2 linked regions of the Lepisosteus oculatus genome follow. The protein of the gene in region 1 interacts with the protein of each later gene in a biochemical or structural test. Links are inferred from orthologs where the notes say so. Each region holds a gene or a part of one and is shown on either strand. Other genes may lie near its edges. The genes, in order: arhgef12b and igf1ra.

The links.
Region 2: the proteins of arhgef12b (region 1) and igf1ra form a complex in vitro, tested with the Homo sapiens proteins (2 studies listed by BioGRID and IntAct, with this or other methods). The link is inferred for Lepisosteus oculatus from reciprocal best matches to the Homo sapiens genes ARHGEF12 and IGF1R.

What each region holds. Positions count from the first base shown.
Region 1 is NC_090718.1:14,317,837-14,326,445, reverse strand, and holds the start of arhgef12b (rho guanine nucleotide exchange factor 12), read right to left. Parts: upstream 3,788-8,609; 5' UTR 2,082-3,787; coding exon 2,050-2,081; intron 1-2,049. UniProt on the Homo sapiens protein: May play a role in the regulation of RhoA GTPase by guanine nucleotide-binding alpha-12 (GNA12) and alpha-13 (GNA13). Acts as guanine nucleotide exchange factor (GEF) for RhoA GTPase and may act as GTPase-activating protein (GAP) for GNA12 and GNA13.
Region 2 is NC_090700.1:54,513,672-54,522,166, reverse strand, and holds the start of igf1ra (insulin-like growth factor 1 receptor), read left to right. Parts: upstream 1-4,791; 5' UTR 4,792-5,919; coding exon 5,920-6,013; intron 6,014-8,495. UniProt on the Homo sapiens protein: Receptor tyrosine kinase which mediates actions of insulin-like growth factor 1 (IGF1). Binds IGF1 with high affinity and IGF2 and insulin (INS) with a lower affinity. The activated IGF1R is involved in cell growth and survival control.

The sequences.
Region 1 (8,609 bases):
AGTAGTCCTATCCCACACACACACACACAATCTCCACAAGAAAGACAGCTCCCAAGTGCTCAAGAGCTCCACTACATCAGCCTCTGCGCTGCACCAAACAGCACCACGCAGGCCACAGGCTGCACACCAGAGAGGAAGACGAGGCGAGGAAGGGTGCCGAGCCGAACTCCTCGCCAGCAGAGGGGGGCGGGGGCGTCTCTGCACACAGCGACGGCTTCAGTCTTCGGCAAAGGCAGCAAGACCACCGACACGCAAGCCACACAGCAGAGATCTGCGCGTCGGAGAAGCAGGGAAAGACTTGGCTCGTTTTTTTTCCCCAGCTAAGAGGGGAGGGAAGCAGGAGGGTCAGCGGACAAGAAATCAAACGGGGGGGATCTGCAGATGGGAAAGGTCTTCGGGGCCAAGCCAGGAGGGAGACGATGCGGACAGGGCCGGCACCCGGGCGCAGGCAGGGACTGAGGTGCTCCGACACCCGGATGAGGTTTTGCTTCCCACTGCCCAGCCCACCCAGCACACCGCATACTGGGGAGCAGGGAGGCCGAAACACAAAACCCCAAACCCCTCTCCACACAAGGGGCAGGCCCGTTCTGGCGGGGCTGGAGAGAGACAAGCGGCCCGAGAGCCACTCTGCCGAGGAGGGTGCCGAACTGCAGGCCGGGCCCTCTGGGGGCCCCTCCAGCTCAGCTGCTATTCAGAACGGACAACACATCTCAGAGCAAAGGTGCTCCCGAGCAGGCAGGCCACGCCAACACACGGCCTTCCGGTCTCCTGTACTTGGGGGACCAGAGGCTTCAGGCACGGCCTTCGGATCGCACAGCTCGTGATCCGACTGACCCCCTCTCAGTCCCTGCTGGGGCACCGACACACAGCGCCAGGGGGAGACCAGCACAGAAGAGCACTGCGCTGGCTCGCTCGCTTCTTCTCCCCAGGATGAAATGCAGAAATGCCATTTAAATCACAGAAAACAAACAAAAACAAAATGAATTCGGAAAAGAAATCCCTCTCTCCACCCTGTCCCTGGGTAAATCGCTCCCCGGCACCTGTCGGGAGCAGTCACAAGCAGGTGAACCAGTCGAGTAAAAACTGACCCTGCGGACGGGTCAGCCGTCCGGCCCAACCCCATCCTCCGCCGGACCGGGACGTCACCCTGCAAGAACCCCAGGGGCGCGCAATGCAAGCCAGTCGTCAGACAGGCAGACCGCTGGTCCCTTGGCATGAGGGTGGCTTCAGTCCACATCGCCACACCTGCCACCAAAACCGCTGGGCACCAGAAGAAAGCACCGCAGGTACTGGAACAGAGAGCCCCGACACTGAGCACACATGCCCGGCGCCTCTGGGGTCTGAGCCCCAGTGCTGGGGCGCACACGCACGAACACGCAGCGGCGCGTTATGCAATCCAAGGCGCTTGTCGTGCAGACGGAACCCACTCCATTGCCGCCTGCAACTTCGCTGCGCGCAAAAGCACCCGGTCCTTCCCCACCCCGGAAAGCCGTTCGGGCTCCGCTTCGATTGCATTCCGCCCCTCGGAAATCTGAGCATGCGAGATCGTATGAGACCGAAGACGGGGGGCCCTTCGTCAATGAACGTCGCGCATATGTGTCACGCTCCGTAACATGACCGTATCGGCCACAAGGTCAAAACCATTCGGTGTGGGGAATACAAACAACCCCATCTCCGACCACCTTTCACGCAGTTCAGAAATGAAACTGAGCTTTGGACGTGCGAAGCCCACCCGACTCCCGCGTGCCCCGCCGCGCCGCGCGATCTCGCCCACCCGGCGCGGCGACACTGCGCTCGCTCCCGCGGCCCCGACAGCTTTGTTCCCACCGCCAGGTTTTATCTGCACATACTGTAGCATCGTTTCTCTCCGGATCAACGCCTGACAAACAGACTGAGGGGAGGGGTGATAAACCACATTAAAATAAAACATTAATGGGAGACATCACGCCGCGCCGTGCAAACAAACAAAAAAAAAAGACACTTTTTGCCTTGCACGCCTGGAAATGATATCAACAAAAGCCAAGACAAACGCCACCGCGAATCGCTTACCTGTCAGTGATTGTAGACTGTGTGCCGCTCATTGGGCTTCTGTTTCGAGTTTTGCTTCGGCTCTTATCCAATTAGCATTTTAACAAAAATAAAAATACCCTCCGTCTGTCGGGAAAGTAGCAGGTCCCTCCTAATATCCGTCAGGATGCTCTCTCTCTCTCTCGTGTGTGTGTGTGTGTCACAAATGCCAACAATGATACGAATATCGCTGAAGAACAAACCCCAGTGGACGAGATGTCGGGCAGACTTCTGTCGAGATTCCGCAGCGCGACGACTCTTTCTCCCACACCGGGCGCACGACAACAATAATGTAAACGGGGATCCTTCCACTGGAGCGGGAAGAAAAATTGTATCTCATATAAATAAATGGATCTAAAAATGAAGCAGATCCGGGCGATCGCTGTACAATCCTAAGAGAATCCGGAAGGGTCTGACGCGGGGAATGCGCGAAAGGCTTTTTCCCCCAAAAAAAAATCCGCAGGACGGGATTCCCGAGCACGCGTCGCCCCCTGGCTCCGTCTCCCCGCCGCCTGGTGCTCAATTCCGCCGGCGCACTGAAATTCCTATTGTGAAGGCGCTTCCCGGCTGGAAAACTCTCCTTTCTCCGGCTTCGCCTCTGTTCCCTTCGAATCCTGCCTTTACAGTCGGCGAGGTTCTCATCACACCACCGTGGGGTCCCCTCCACACCCCCCCACCCGTCCTGCTGCTGCTGCTGCGGCGGCGGCTATTTCTGTTTCTGTTTTTGTTTTTTTTTTAAACGATGCTTTTAGGAATATACATCCCTATTCGGTTTCCCCCCCGGAGCCGTGCCCGCCGTCGCTCATCCTACTGCGCCGCCCGCTCCCTCCCGACCAGCTCGGGGGACTTTCCCGAAGCCCGGCGCGAGCAGCCCGTCCCGGTCGCGCGACTCACAGCATTCCCGGCCGCGAGGACTCCCATTAGCCTCCCGGCTCCTCAGAGCCCCGCTGTCCAGAAACAGGCCCTCCTGCTTTGCCGATATTCCAATGAATAATGAAAAGGAAAAAAAAGACTACCCCCCCCCTCCTCCTCCTCCTCCTGCTCCTGCTCCTGCTCTTCCAAAAACCTGCAAATTCTTGTCCTTTTTTTTTCTAATTTTGAGATTCCCCCCTTCCCGATCCTTACATAGCAACCCGAGGCGCGCCCGCACGGCTGTGCGTGGTTTTTAAAACGCGATCTCCCCCCCCCCCTTGTTGTTTTTTTTTTTTTTTCCAGCAACACGAACTCCCAGATTTCCTCAGCAAGGCAGTCCGGCGCTTTCCAGGGCAAAAACTTTTTTGGTGTTCTCTCGATACTCGGCTTCCCTCTTATTCCCCGATCCGAAAACAGATCTTTTCCACAAAAAAGGGGAACAGCGAAGGGATGAGGCTACAAATCGAACCGGTTTCAGCTCCGGGCGACACTTCAAATTCCCCGATATGTTGGACTTGCAGACGAAATCCCTCAAACTTGCGCGGAATACCCTTCTCTCCGTGTCTCCATGTTTTTGCAATCCAGTGTTTTGCTTCTGTCCCGTTTCCCACCCTTATTCTTTCTGCCGCACGGTAGCAACGCTCCCAGATAGAAGAAACCCCTTTATTTTAAACTCTTCAAACAACAGACCGTAAACTTCTGAGTTTTTCTTTAACGGCCGCAAGTCTTCCTTTCTCTTCTTACAGTCTATTACTTTCAACAAATTGACAATACCTCCCCGATCACTCCGCCCAGACTGATCGCTCCCTCATTCCTGCGTCTACTTCCGCCCAACCAAAAACATATAATCCCAAAGAGAACTTTGGGAAGAACGGGGATCGGTATTTTTTACTAGATATCCCATGTGAAAATGGCTTTAATTTGTGAGGTTTATTTTCCTGATAATAAAGTTTTATAAATTGGACAAGAAAGTGAAATGTAGTATATAACGCGTGTTTTATTTGTGTTAATGTATCCACTGTGTCATTGTTTAGTTCCCATATCTTGACATCACGGTAAGGGAAAATGACATTTGTAAAACACATTAGAGTATTTTTTTTTTTTATTCTTTCAACTCGATGCCCAAGCAATATTACGTGGATGATGCTTGGAAACCGAGTATATTATGTCATTAAAACGACGTGCGGCAAGCTGAGATTGTATCGTGTCAAATTGTCACGGTACCTAAAACGCAGCCATCGCCTGGTAGATAGTATTGACCTCCCTTATAATTGCATCACACCCTCCGAGTTTCGCCAGGTCTTTTCTGTAAGACTGGTGGGGGCGCTTACGCTTAGTGAATTGAGTGGGTTTTATCAAGGCTGCCTGACGTTTTGTGCTCGTCAGTTCCCCGACTACGTGACAGAACAGCATGGAATGCAAGGCGCTCTGCCGTTAAGACAATCGTCTCTCGCAGAGGGTAAAGTCTGCACACAAATTAAGCAATTAAGCGGGCAGTTATCGGATCCACTAGAGGCTGTGCAGAGAGATTTATCAGGAGCTCGATTTCCTGGCTGTCCCACAGCCCCAGTGACCTCTTTCATCGTTACACAGTTGCTAGAATTTGTAAGTTTTTTTTATGTCGGAAGACATCAGAAGCCAGCACAAAATACATCCCGTGAATAATGATACTAATGCTTGTACTGGGTTAGAAAAAGGAGGTTCCTTTTTTACACAAAGAGTGGCGAGTGTCTGGAGCAAACTGCCCAGCTATGTTATTGAAGCCAGATTCCTGGGATATTTCGAGAGGTGGCTGGATCAACAGCAGCTAAACAAGCAGAGCGCTCCTTCCTGTGACTTCTCTTTCGTTCTTACGTTCGTGAAGAGAGCAGGTCTCAGCTACTCCTCCTTAGAGGGAGAGTCAGCAAAACCCGAAGTGGATCTCCTCCCTGGAGGAGGACACAAGCCGCCAGGGTTCACCTGGGAGACGGGTTAGGCGTCCAGTCGTGGTGGTGGACCGCGGCGTGTCGTGCACCTCGTTAACAAACAGAGAGAGCTCAGAAAGCTGTAAGATCGGCCCAGTTAAGCCAGTACCCAGCTGTTTAAGCCCGTGAAGAGATGACCTGGAATGAAAACCCATATACATACACCAGACCTCCAGGGCCAGGACTGGACACGCATAACGGAAGTGCTCAGACCAGTTATATATGAAATGTATTTGTTTAACCACCGTACAGTGTGGTGTCTAGGCCTACAGGATCCTGAGGCACCTTGCAGGTTCTGAACTACAGGGATCACTTTGGTGAGAAAACCTCATTACCATTCGGCCACTGACCCAGAACATAGGGCTGTATGCAGACGCTCAAGCCAGTAGCAATGTCACTCTGTAACTCACAACTGGCAGCCCCACTGGAGCTCAGCAGGTGTGAGCCTGGTCAGTACCTGGATGGGAGACTCCTGGGAAAAACTAAGGCTGCTGCTGGAAGAGGTGTTAGTAGGACCAGCAGGGGGCGCTCACCCTGTGGTCCACGTGGGTCCTAATGCCCCAGTATAGTGACGGGGACACTATATTGTAAACAGGCGCCGTCCTTCGGATGAGACGTAAAACCGAGGTCCTGACTCTCTGTGGTCATAAAAAATCCCAGGGTGTTTCTAGAAAAAATTAGGGGTGTAACCCTGCTGTCCTGGCCAACTTTCCCGTTGGCCCTTATCAATCATGGCCTCCTAATAATCCCCCTCTATGAATTGGCTTCCTTGCTCTCCTCCCCACTGAGAGCTGGTGTGTGGTGAGCGTTCTGGGCACAATGGCTGCCCTTGCATCATCATAGCTGCACATTGGTGTGGTGCAGGGGATCCCCATTACCTGTAAAGCATTTTGAGTGGAGTGTCCAGAAAAGCACTATGTAAGTGTAAGCAATTATTATTATTATTATTATTATTATTAGTTTAGGTGAGTAGCTTTGTCAGCATGCGTAGGCTGCAAAGAAACAAGTAATAGGTTTATTCCATACTCCACCTGAAGGTAACAAACCTATTTCTTGTTCATTATTATTCTCTAGAAATAAAAGTGGACACAGCCTCGCCCCTTCGCAGTGAAAACAGGGCCATTCCTCCAGGATTTAGTCATGAGAGAATCCGAGCATGCTCGCATCCCGGCTCGGGTTTTTTTTTTACTGTTTCCTACTTTTCAGTTAATGATTTACAAAAAAAGAATATTTCTTCGCAGATCTGCGCCGGATAAATGCAATGCTTATCTCCGGGTGTTATCTCTAAACAAACAAGGATCCCTGATGTAATGTCTGAAAGCAGGGCTGTGTGATTCCTAGCGCGGCCTACAAGCTGCACAGAGGTCGGTCCCGACCATCGCGATCGATGTGAACGGCTTCCTAAAATCCGATGACCAGCATCAGTCCCCCGGAAGCTGGAGAGCTCAGAGCCCCCTGGGAATTCAATACTTTTTAAAGCGCCTGTCATATCTGACGTCCTCCTCAAGGCAGAAATCAATGCAATCGCAGCCAAGGGGCTGTATGCGTTTCCGAAATGAGTAGCTGTTCATTTCTTATTAGAAAATGCTGCAAAGTTGTAAAGCGATCCAAAAATGTTTCAAGGTCCCAAGAATGACAAAAAATAGTTGAGACGTGTAAATGTTTGTTTTTTTTTTGGTTTTGCATTTGTGACCATGTAAAATAGGTATGAAACGAGACGTGCACCACATTTTATTGCATTTCTCACATAATGTCCCAGCCTCTGTCCCAGTCCTCCCTTCACGGGAAGATGACAGATGAAGAAGATTCACGGGAAGATGACAGATTAAGTCTGTAATAGGGGGTCCGGAACTTCAGTTTTACAAAAGTCGCGACGGAGAGTCGGAAGTAGTAAGATGCAATATTGATTTTAGGACGGAAGCCGGCAAAGAAGACTTCATGGTTACGAACACAAACAAATCAAAGTCAAGTTGAAAATATAAGATAAAGCACCATTTCATGTCCATCAGGCCTGCGATGCTTTTTGTTCTGGACTAGTAAGTTTACAGCCAGTGATGGGAAAAATACTTAATTGTGACCATGATCATGTAACGAACGTAGTCAAATACAATTGCTCGTGTAGGGGTCTGTTATGTTTAATAGTTTCTCTACGATAACCTCATACTGTACATGCAATACAGATCAATGTTTAAGTATTTCCCCCGACCCCAAATTCATGTTAATTTTACAAAAGTAACCCCTTACATAAGCAACTTGCATCTGAGTGGACTTTCCACTTGACTCCCAGTACCCGAGTGCCAAATTCGGCGTTTTGTTTGCAAAACTAAAGCATGCGAAAAAGTGGAGTAACCTGCCACCTACCGGACAGATGGCAATATTACATGTTTCTCTGACAATCGGAGTAATTGAACAATTCCTGACCAGATCAACTGCAGCGTTTCCTGAAAGGCAGGTAAGTAATGTAAATTGGAACCTGCAAAGGAGTTAAAGAAAGCAACAGTTCCTCGGATTTCCACTTTTTATGTGCATAAAGCATTCTCGGAGATGATTTGAGTTTGTGATAATGAGTAAGGGTGTCGCAGAGTGGCACAGTGGTTAGCATTGCAGTGCTGGGGCTCTGGGTTCAATTTCAGACCTGGGATGCTGTCTGTTTGGAGTTTGTATGTTCTCCCCATGTTCACCTGTGTTTCCTCTGGGTGCTCCAGTTTCCTCCCACAGTCCAAAAACGTGCAGGTGGGTTAATTGGCTTAAAGGAACATTGGCCCAGGTGTGAGTGAATGTGTTTATGTCTGTGTCTGTGTGTGCCCTGCCTTGGACTGGTGTCCCCTCCAGGGTGTACCCTGCCTCGAGCCCTTTGCCTGCTGGGATAGTCTCCGAATTAGACCCTGAATTGGAAGAAGTGGTTACAAATTGGATGGATAATGAGTTACTCTCCACTGACATATCTGAACTTATACTTCCAGTCAACCTATTTCTGATATGAAATGTGCTACAGCATCCTCACCCATGAACTATTCTAACTTTTACTAAATAAACATCTGGTCATCACTTTGATCCTTTGAGTTTTTGAGTCTTATTTTCACCCCAAAGACATTTCTGAAAACATTGTCCCTCTCAGTGATTTTTGTGAATATAACAGTCCTAAACAGACTGTTGACTACCAATGACTACTGATGTATGCAGCGGAATCTGTAAAATGCAAAAGGAAAGTAAAAGGAATTAAGTTCTGTTTTTTCTAATAAAGACATCACCAGCCCCACATTGTACTGAATTTCAATGTTTTAATTAATGTCAATACAAACTTGAACTCTCATTTAAAAATATTCTAGTTATATGACATTTTAATTCCACAAAATAAGACCTCCAGTTGTTTGATGTGTTTTAGCTTTTTATGTATGAGCTCGTTTCACAATCGACTCAGCAGGTGATCAATGAAGAAGCTGTTTCTGTGTACTGTGGTAAAGGGAACCTACCCTCCAAATTCCCCAGGATGAAGATAAACCAAGGAAGTTTACAAACAGCCCTCTGGACTCGTCCCCATCATGACTGAAGGGATAAAAACGCTTCATTTTAATAACACAGGATATCATATTTTCAGTCAAAACCAGTTTCAATGGTATTCAAAAGTGGCTTTACAGTTTCAAAAGTGTAAAAAATATTCATATT
Region 2 (8,495 bases), on another chromosome or scaffold:
GTTGGGCTACAGCCTCTCATATGATAGGGTGTTCCTGATTCATATGCTCATAAAATAGCTTCAGAGTTTTCATTAATTACCTACCTCAGGCATGCCTCTCAGGTGAAATACCACTGTGGGAAAGCCTCAAGTGTCCTACTGCAAATATTGCAGTAAAGTAAGCCCATGTCCATTATGATAAGCGCTATATAAGTGTAAGCAATTATTATTATTATTATTATTTTATTATTATAGTTTGCAATGGTGTTGATCATGGCTTTCTGCACTATTTTGGAGTTTACTATGGTAGAGTTCTTTAACTGTTATCATCATCGCCCAATCCTACAGCACTTAGTGGAAGTAAATTCTGTAGGACTTTTGCAGAGTAAACTGTGGTATACCATTACTTACCAAAGGTAATTATGGTTATTAGAGAATATTACAGGGATTGTTGTAGTGGTTCTTTATCAGGGCTAGCTGTCCTGATCTGCAGAGAAAATACTTCAGCTGTGGAAGGATGACATGTTACTGCACATTTCTGCATGAAATTGCACATGAATATGCGTGTTTAATTTTGTCGACCCCCCCCCCCAGTTAGAATTTGCCTGCTATATCAGAGCCACTGCCTTCTCTGTCATCCCCATGTCACCAGTGGGTGAGCTGCTGTTTTCCAGGATGGTTCTGACATGAGGGGTGTGGGAGTCTGGAACAGGCCTGCCAGCCATGTTGCCAAAGCCGATAACCTGGCTTGTTTCAGTAAACAGCTGAATGGGATGCTGGGATCAATTAGCTACTCGCTAGCACATGGCCGAAATGGACTCCTCTGGTTTGTGCCTTCGATATGTTCTTGCGATGGGGACCAGCGACTAATAAGAAGGTTCTCCAATATGTATTGTCCCCTTTTCATAATAAAATGTTTTTTGCACTCTGTTTTTGAAAGTTAAGTGTTTAACATTACAACCATGTTGAACTTTACAAAAGCCTTTAATCTGCTGAAGAAGAATCAAGAGTATCAGGAGGATGAAAGAAGCCTAAGAAAGCTGAATGATGAAAGGACGTAAGCCCACTGTGGAATGCCTTGTTTCCTGACATCCAAAGGTGCTAAATAAATTTTGGCTACAAAGGTGCATTTTAGTGGAGACTACAGTCCACAACTGGAGACTGCATTCAGACTTTTTGAGTCCATATAATAGGATCACCTTTTTTAAAGTTTGTTGAAATGATTCCTCTTGTCAGCATTTACAGGGACCGCAAACAGTGCTAAATGTCAATGGTGAGTGGAGGCTGAGATGAAAAACAAAATGTGCAGTGGGACACAACTGCAAGCAACAAAAATGTCTGCTTCCTACTTACTCTTGCATAGTATGATAAAATACTGGCATTTAAAGTTAAACTCTTAACTCACATTTATAGGTTGTTACCACCTCTTTCATTTTAAAAAATCATTTTGAACTACAGTAAAAATCCCTTTTTTTGTCTGACCATCTACTGTATCTGTCTGTCTGGGGGGCTGGCGGTCTGCACAATCTCCAGGCAAACGTGATGTCTAAATTCTGTTGGAGATAAAAAGAGCAAGAGTTATAAGCCCTGCAGAAGTGCCCTTCATCTACACAAACAAAACTCTCATTCCCCCTGACAGCAGAGAGAGAACTGTAAATAACACCGATATCACCATCAGGTACCTCATGAGTCATATTCAGCTTTTAATTCAAAAGCTTAAGCTGTATTTAGCCTCCCATTCAAATCTGTGATTATGATAATAGAAATTGACACATAATTGTTTCCGCATTGATGCTCCTGTTTTAACTGTTTCATGCTTGTCTGATGATTGTGTGCACTGTTTCACATATATTCATCTAGATATTTGACGTGTATCCGTCAAGTACATGTGAATCGCAATAATTCTCTTCACACAGACCGTTGCAAGGGGATTTGGAGTTTTAGTTGCTGATGGACTGATTGTTCAGGTGGATGGTAATAGTGCTGGCAATCACACCTAAACTATGTATTACATTTCTCCAGTGAATATCATCTAAAAGCACAAAGTGCGTGCAACCAACCAGTTCAGGCAAACGAAATCAGGTGCCTATAGTCTGAATCAAGGCACTGAGGACTTCTCTCACTGTATTTCACAACACAGCTGGGTGAGATGCTTCCATCAATTAGCTACTAGCAACCAAATTGCTTCTTCAGAATCTTTCCTATGTTTGAGGCAGGATTCTGTTACCCATACCAAAGTCAGTTAACCTGTCATTTCTTATTATTCATTACATTGAATATTACATTGCAATACCCTTGAATTTTTTTCACACTTACAAACATATCATGTATAGCCAAATATAAAACTTTAGAAGCTTACTAGTATATATATGATTGCAAGAGCTGGCCATCTTGGTGAAGAATGGAAATGGAGTAAGCTATACGTGATTACTGAAAGGTGCTGTGTGAAATACTCTGTTGTTTGGGGCGAAGACGTAGTGCAGACATGCTCGGAGTGCCGGGAGAGCCGGCTCATTGTCAAGTGGCTGCTCCAGGGCTGATCCGGGCGAGGGCGCTGACTCAGGAGCACGCGCTCGACATCGTAGAAAACACTCGGCTCAGCAACAACCACACAGCTACTGCCACTGACCCTGCACGTGTCCAGTTTGTGCTACGCTGAAAGCTTGGAGGCTGTGCTTCACCTCTACTCATGAAGGACTGAGAATTGGCTGCTTCAATTGAGGTCAACAAACTGTACAATGACACAGTTTGGTTACATGACAATGTTACACGGACGGTTGTCAGTCATCTGGTCGAGCACAGATACTGTCCTGTTCAATCCTCCATCTCCACTGCTCAGCTCCTTCATCCTGTAACATCTGCTATGACAGGGGTGACCAGAGGTGGCCAGTCCAACAGGTGTTATATTGTAGGTGGCTCTTGCATCGGCAGTTTGTAAAGACGTGGAGCAGACGTGAGTTTTCGATTTCGTAAGTTAATTTGTTCGGTCAAGTCACAAATGTGCCAGCTGTGGTACTTGAAAGCAGCAGGGTTGGGGGATTTTCTTTTCAAATGACCTCTAAACTACCTCCAGTAATTGCATAAATCACCTGCTTACTTGGACAAAATGAAATTCTTCCAAGGATTTAAAACTTTCTGATTCAGGGGGACCTGTAATACCTCCCGGATTGCAGCCCTTCAGAGCTGGTCTGCTCTGTTCTTGCTATTCCAGAAGGAGTTACTCTTTACAAATTCCTTCTTTCGCTTGTCATACTTCTTGCTGTGTCCATGCAATATTATGCAGTTGAACAGTGTTAACTGGATCAAATAAAGATGTTATTAAATACGATGATGGATGTAATCTAAACCAGTGCTTCTCCACTTTTGAGGTACCAAGGACCATCGCTCTGAGGCCTCTGAGGGCTGCTGAGGGTCAAAACTGTCCCGACGCTAGAAGACACTTCAATGGGCAGTGTTACGGCAGAGACTGGTCGTTATTGCTCCAGGCAGAAACCTGGCTCTAGACGGTCATGTGATCAGTTGTACACCGAAACATGTTTTACCAAGGAAAGTTACATTAGGGTGATGTAACCTGTAAACAACATATCTCCCGCAAATCATTCTGTGACACCATTGTGTACACAAGGTAAGTGGAGTTTAAAACAAGAGCTCAGGAGCAGGTCCAACCCTAACCTTGCCCACTCCTATGGATATGCCCAGAAGACAAGGACAGGTTTGCTATTCCAATCACGCCACCTCTCCCCCTTGATCAGGTTATTGAAATGCTACCTCTTGACCTCAGTGGGCACCAGCTCTCCTGTCAGGCACCGGTCAGCATGTGGAGAGACAGGTGGAAGAAGCACATGCCAGGACCGGGCTTGCTGGTCTCCATTCACTCTGTGTGGTGCAGAATCTGCGGTGAAGTCAAGCCTTGAAACATATAGACTGGTGACAGGTTATTCTTTCTTATTCCTTACAGCGTTATCGCTGGCAGCTGCGCAGGCAGTGTGATATATTCATTGCCTCTAGTTTGCTGGATGCTACCTTGTGCGAGGCAGACTGGTGATGCCCCAATCATCTTGTCTGCAAAGCCGGCGATCTGTGTTTAACGTCTGGCTCAAACTGACATCTCCTATTGAGTAACACTGTTGTTTAAAACTTTGCATGCTTTTGCTATGACTTAAAAAGGTGTTTTCCATGAGTGCAAAGAGTAATAGCAACATACTCTTTTCCAAAATATTTCGTTATAATGACTGGTTTATTTAAGTGCAATGAATCACATAAATCAAACGTCTGGGTTTATGTGGGAGCTTGTGATCAAAACCTGAATAAAGTGGAAGTGAAAAGTAAAAACTTTGGTCGTTCTGGGCTGTGTGTAATAATCATAAAATTGTGTTGTTTTTTGCTGCATCAGAAAGCTATTTAGTTGTGCTGTGAGCACATGTACAGTATGTATCTGTCACTGCACTCCCCTGAGCACGTTGCACAACTGCATACAATGCGGTAAAACTCTTTTTAGTATGCTTGGTTAACACCATTCATTCTTCCCGATTTACATTTAAAATTGGTTGGCAGCGAAAACAGCCACGGGGCTGTAGACAAATACCAACGCTAACTCCGTGATTTATCTGTCCCGGAGGTTTTCTGATAACTCCGCGTTTGACTGGGCCGAGATAAAAGAAATACTGTCGATGCAAACCCAAAAAGAAGAAAAAAAAAGATCAGAGGAAAACAACATCCGAAGGAAAACCAGTTTCTTTCGGCGTGGAGCGGAGTGGCCAGACGGGGAAACTCCATGCCAGCTTTTCCCGTCTGCTCTAGTTAGCGTATGTGTGTGTGTCTGTGTGAGAGCAGGCGACTTGTTTACAGCGCTGATTCCAGCAGGCAGACACAGACAGTGGAGACGGGTGAGACCGTAGCCACGGGAAAGTAGACCGCTTCACCTTCAGCTTTCTCTCCCCCGGTTCAGAGAAAGAAGGAAGGAGGAGAAGAAGAAGAAGAAAGAAAAAAAACCCCAACAACAATACGACGGCGTGCCGCTGCATTTGCAAATTTCGACGGAGACCTTTTTCAATCTCTGTTCCTTTTCAGCGTGGGAGAAAGGGATAGATACATCCACCGCAAGTCACAGAAAAGACGGAGCGGGCGAGAGAGAAAGAAGGAAGGAGAGAGGGAGAGGGACAGGGGGAGGGGGTACAGTTGGTGAACCATTTTTGTCCTGACGGATATTTTGGATGGAGCTCAAGCCGTAGAGAGAGAGAGAGGAGAAAGGGGGAGGGAGAGAGAGACAGACAGACTCGGCGAGAGAAGGAGTTGTATTTTCATTCATTTTGTCCCCCCCTGCGTTTCTCGCCGAAACCCGGAGCCCGGCCTCGGGAGGGTCTTCCCCGCGTCTGGCGGATCTTGCAAATTGTAATTGGGGGGAGAAACAGATAAACCGGAGGGGCACGACAAGACAGCGCGGCTGCTTCTTCTTCTGCTTGTTGTTGTTGTTGTATTTTTCTGTTGTTTTGTCTGGCGAGCGAGCGAAGTGTGCGTCTCCCCTCTCCGTGGTCTTTCAAGAAATGGAGGCTGAGGATGCGGACTATCAGCCGAGCGAAAGCTGCGACTCGCGTGTTTCGTTAGCAATCTTTCATGCGTTGTATTGTTGGCAAGCCTAACAAAGCCTTTTCCATCTCCAATTTTTTTTTGGTGTGTGTGTGAGTTCGTTTGGAGAAGATAAATAAAGACCACAGGACACGAGCGATCACCTTAAAAAAGCAAGGATTTAAGTTTTTTTTTTAATTCTCCCGTTCTTCCTACCAGGAGTCAACAATAAGGAGAATTTGCTTCAAAGCCTGCTTCTCGGAAACTGAGAAGCGTTTTCTTGTTTTAGGGTTGTTTTTTTGGTTTGTGACGGGGCATTTTGAAACACTTTTTTATTTTTATTTTTTTTTGGGGGGGGGAATTTTCTCAAGAGGAATGAGGTCTGGGACAGAAAGGGATATTTTGACCTTGTTTTGGGGTCTGTTGCTGTCTATCTCCGTGATCTCCCTATGGCCGGCTAATGGAGAAAGTAAGTACACAAGTTTTTATTTTCCAGTTACAAAATCCCGTTCTTTCGTCTAATGCATTAATCGTAAATGGAAAATGTATAACGTTTTTGAAAGCGTCTTCTTGTTGTTGTGGTTAGCTCGTTTACGTGCTGTTTGCTAGCTTTTACTTAAAAAAAACGTAGTGTGAAGTTTGACCCCGAAGTTAACTTCTCTTTATCGCCTTTTCATTTATAACTAGCTAGCTAGACACTTCAGGGAGATTTTAATATGTAGGTTAGCACTGGGTTCAACAGTAAGGAACAACTGGTAATGATTTAATACGAGGTGAAGCGTTGAAGTTTGAACAGGTGAGGTGCAAGTTGGACTTCAATCAGTTTGAATAGTTCACAGAATAAAACTTATTTTAAAGGATACTGTGAACGTTGTTTACAATTACAGTCTATGTTCAGTATAGAGTGTCATTCGGTTGATATTCTTAAAAGTGAATATACAAATGTTTAGCAAGCGTTTGGAGATAACCTCAATTTAACATCTTCATAACGAGGCACCCGTGTTTTAGCAAAATGGTCTACCCGTTGCGTTTTGTATATTACGACTGATTTCAACTACCGGGATTACATTTTCATATTTATGTTCTCAGTTTAAAAAATAATCCGTCCTAATTTATTCTGCATGTTATTTTTTTTTAGTAAATGCCAGTGACATTTCGAGTTAATTTCGTGTGTAATTATATATTTTCAAGGTTGTATTTGTTTTAATTTTAGTCAGTTAACCAGGCGTTTGATGGGTTAATCGACCAGCTACACTTTTCTGATTTTATCTTGTCCCCTTAGTAATTTTGCTCTTACATGGAAAGTTTTGCGACAGATTTTTCGCTCGTTTCGGGAGGTGTGAATGACAGCCCCGGTCAGCCTCGTCCAGCCCGACATGTGCGCTTTTCTGCCCAGTAAACCATTTTACTTGCACGGTTAGATGCCAGATCATTTTCAATTTTCTGGGCAAACAATTGAAGTTATTTCTGACTGATTTTCTTCTTAGAAATAGTAACAGGACATGAACTCTTGCGAAGACCAGCCGTAAGTTCTTAATTTGATTTTCTGACTGGCATTGAACATTGAAATTGTTTTAAAAATAACACGTTTCGTTGCTTGCTTTTTCGGTTGTACATTTTAATGCTAGACAATTATATATATTGTAGGATTTAGTAGAATTTTTTTGGGGGGGATTATTTGCATGAACGCACAGAGGGGTGCTCGGCGTGTGTGCAAGGTTTCCAGTTTTATTCGCAGGCTGATTTAAAAAAGTCGCATGTTTGCACGAACTACAGGGCAGAGGTTCGATGGGCGCGCGGTGTGCAGCGTGGAATATATATATATGTGTGTGTGTGGTGGGGGGAGTATCCTCGTGCTGGACAGGACGCTCGCGGACATCAGGTGCAAGAGGGGCCCCGGGCGGCGCGTGGCGGCGCGGGGACACGGCTTCCGGTCCCCGAGGAGAGAAGGTGCTCGGGCTGGCCATGTGGCCGCGCGCATCCGGACCGCACGCGCCCCGCGGAGGCACGCCGTGTGCGCGTGCGAGCACTGCCGAAATTACTACCGCGCTCCAGTGTTCGCACTATTTTTTATGATGATTGTTGTTGTTGTTATTATAATGCACATCCTGTGGCGTGGTGCGACTTTTCTTCTGCACATGTTCCAGCGCCCGTGTGCGCCCGCACCAGGGCGACCGTCGTCGCTTGAGATGTATTTTAATAATTAATAGATGTATTTTGACAGTCGCTGACAGATGTTACGGCTGTGGCGAACGGGAGATGGTTATAAAATATATTACAGTGGCCACGAATTCCCTTTGCCCTTGGCTGGCGATTTCAGCGTCGAAGACAGCCCGGCTCAGCTGTCAGTCCTGCAGCACTGACCGATACTTCGCTTTGCGCGCTGCTAGAGCGTTTTCAAGCGGCGAGGGTACAGCTGTTTTATTTAGACAGGGGTCGAGAGTTTCTGTGAGGGGGGGTCCAGGATGTCTTGAGCGGTGAAGGGTGAGCTCTGGGGGATGCGGCAGACACGCAGACGGATGAGTGGATCACTGGGGAGCCCCGCCGCTGTAGCTCATCCGCTCGGGCGGCCGGCTGTGTTGTTGTTGCTCGCACAGACCGTCGTGGCCCGCACGCTAGCTCAGCCTTCACGGCTGCTACGCTGGGAAATGTAGAAGCGGGTTGTTTTGTCACAACAGCGTGTGTTTGACGGGCTGCTGCTCCAGACCTGGGTAACTTTCCATTGGGCAGCCGAGCCGGCGCCTGCGCGGTGAGGCCCGGCGCCCCCAGGCCTCTCGGTGTGCTGCCGCTCGGTGACGAGAACCCTGATCCTTGAGAGCTGAGGGCGCCCCAGCGATCACTGAGTTACATATTGATCGCGGTGCAGTTGTCCCCCAAATCGAAGGTAATTGAGGACTGAATGATCCATCACGGCAGCTGGATCGGGGCTCTCCAGGGTCAGGTGTAGCAGG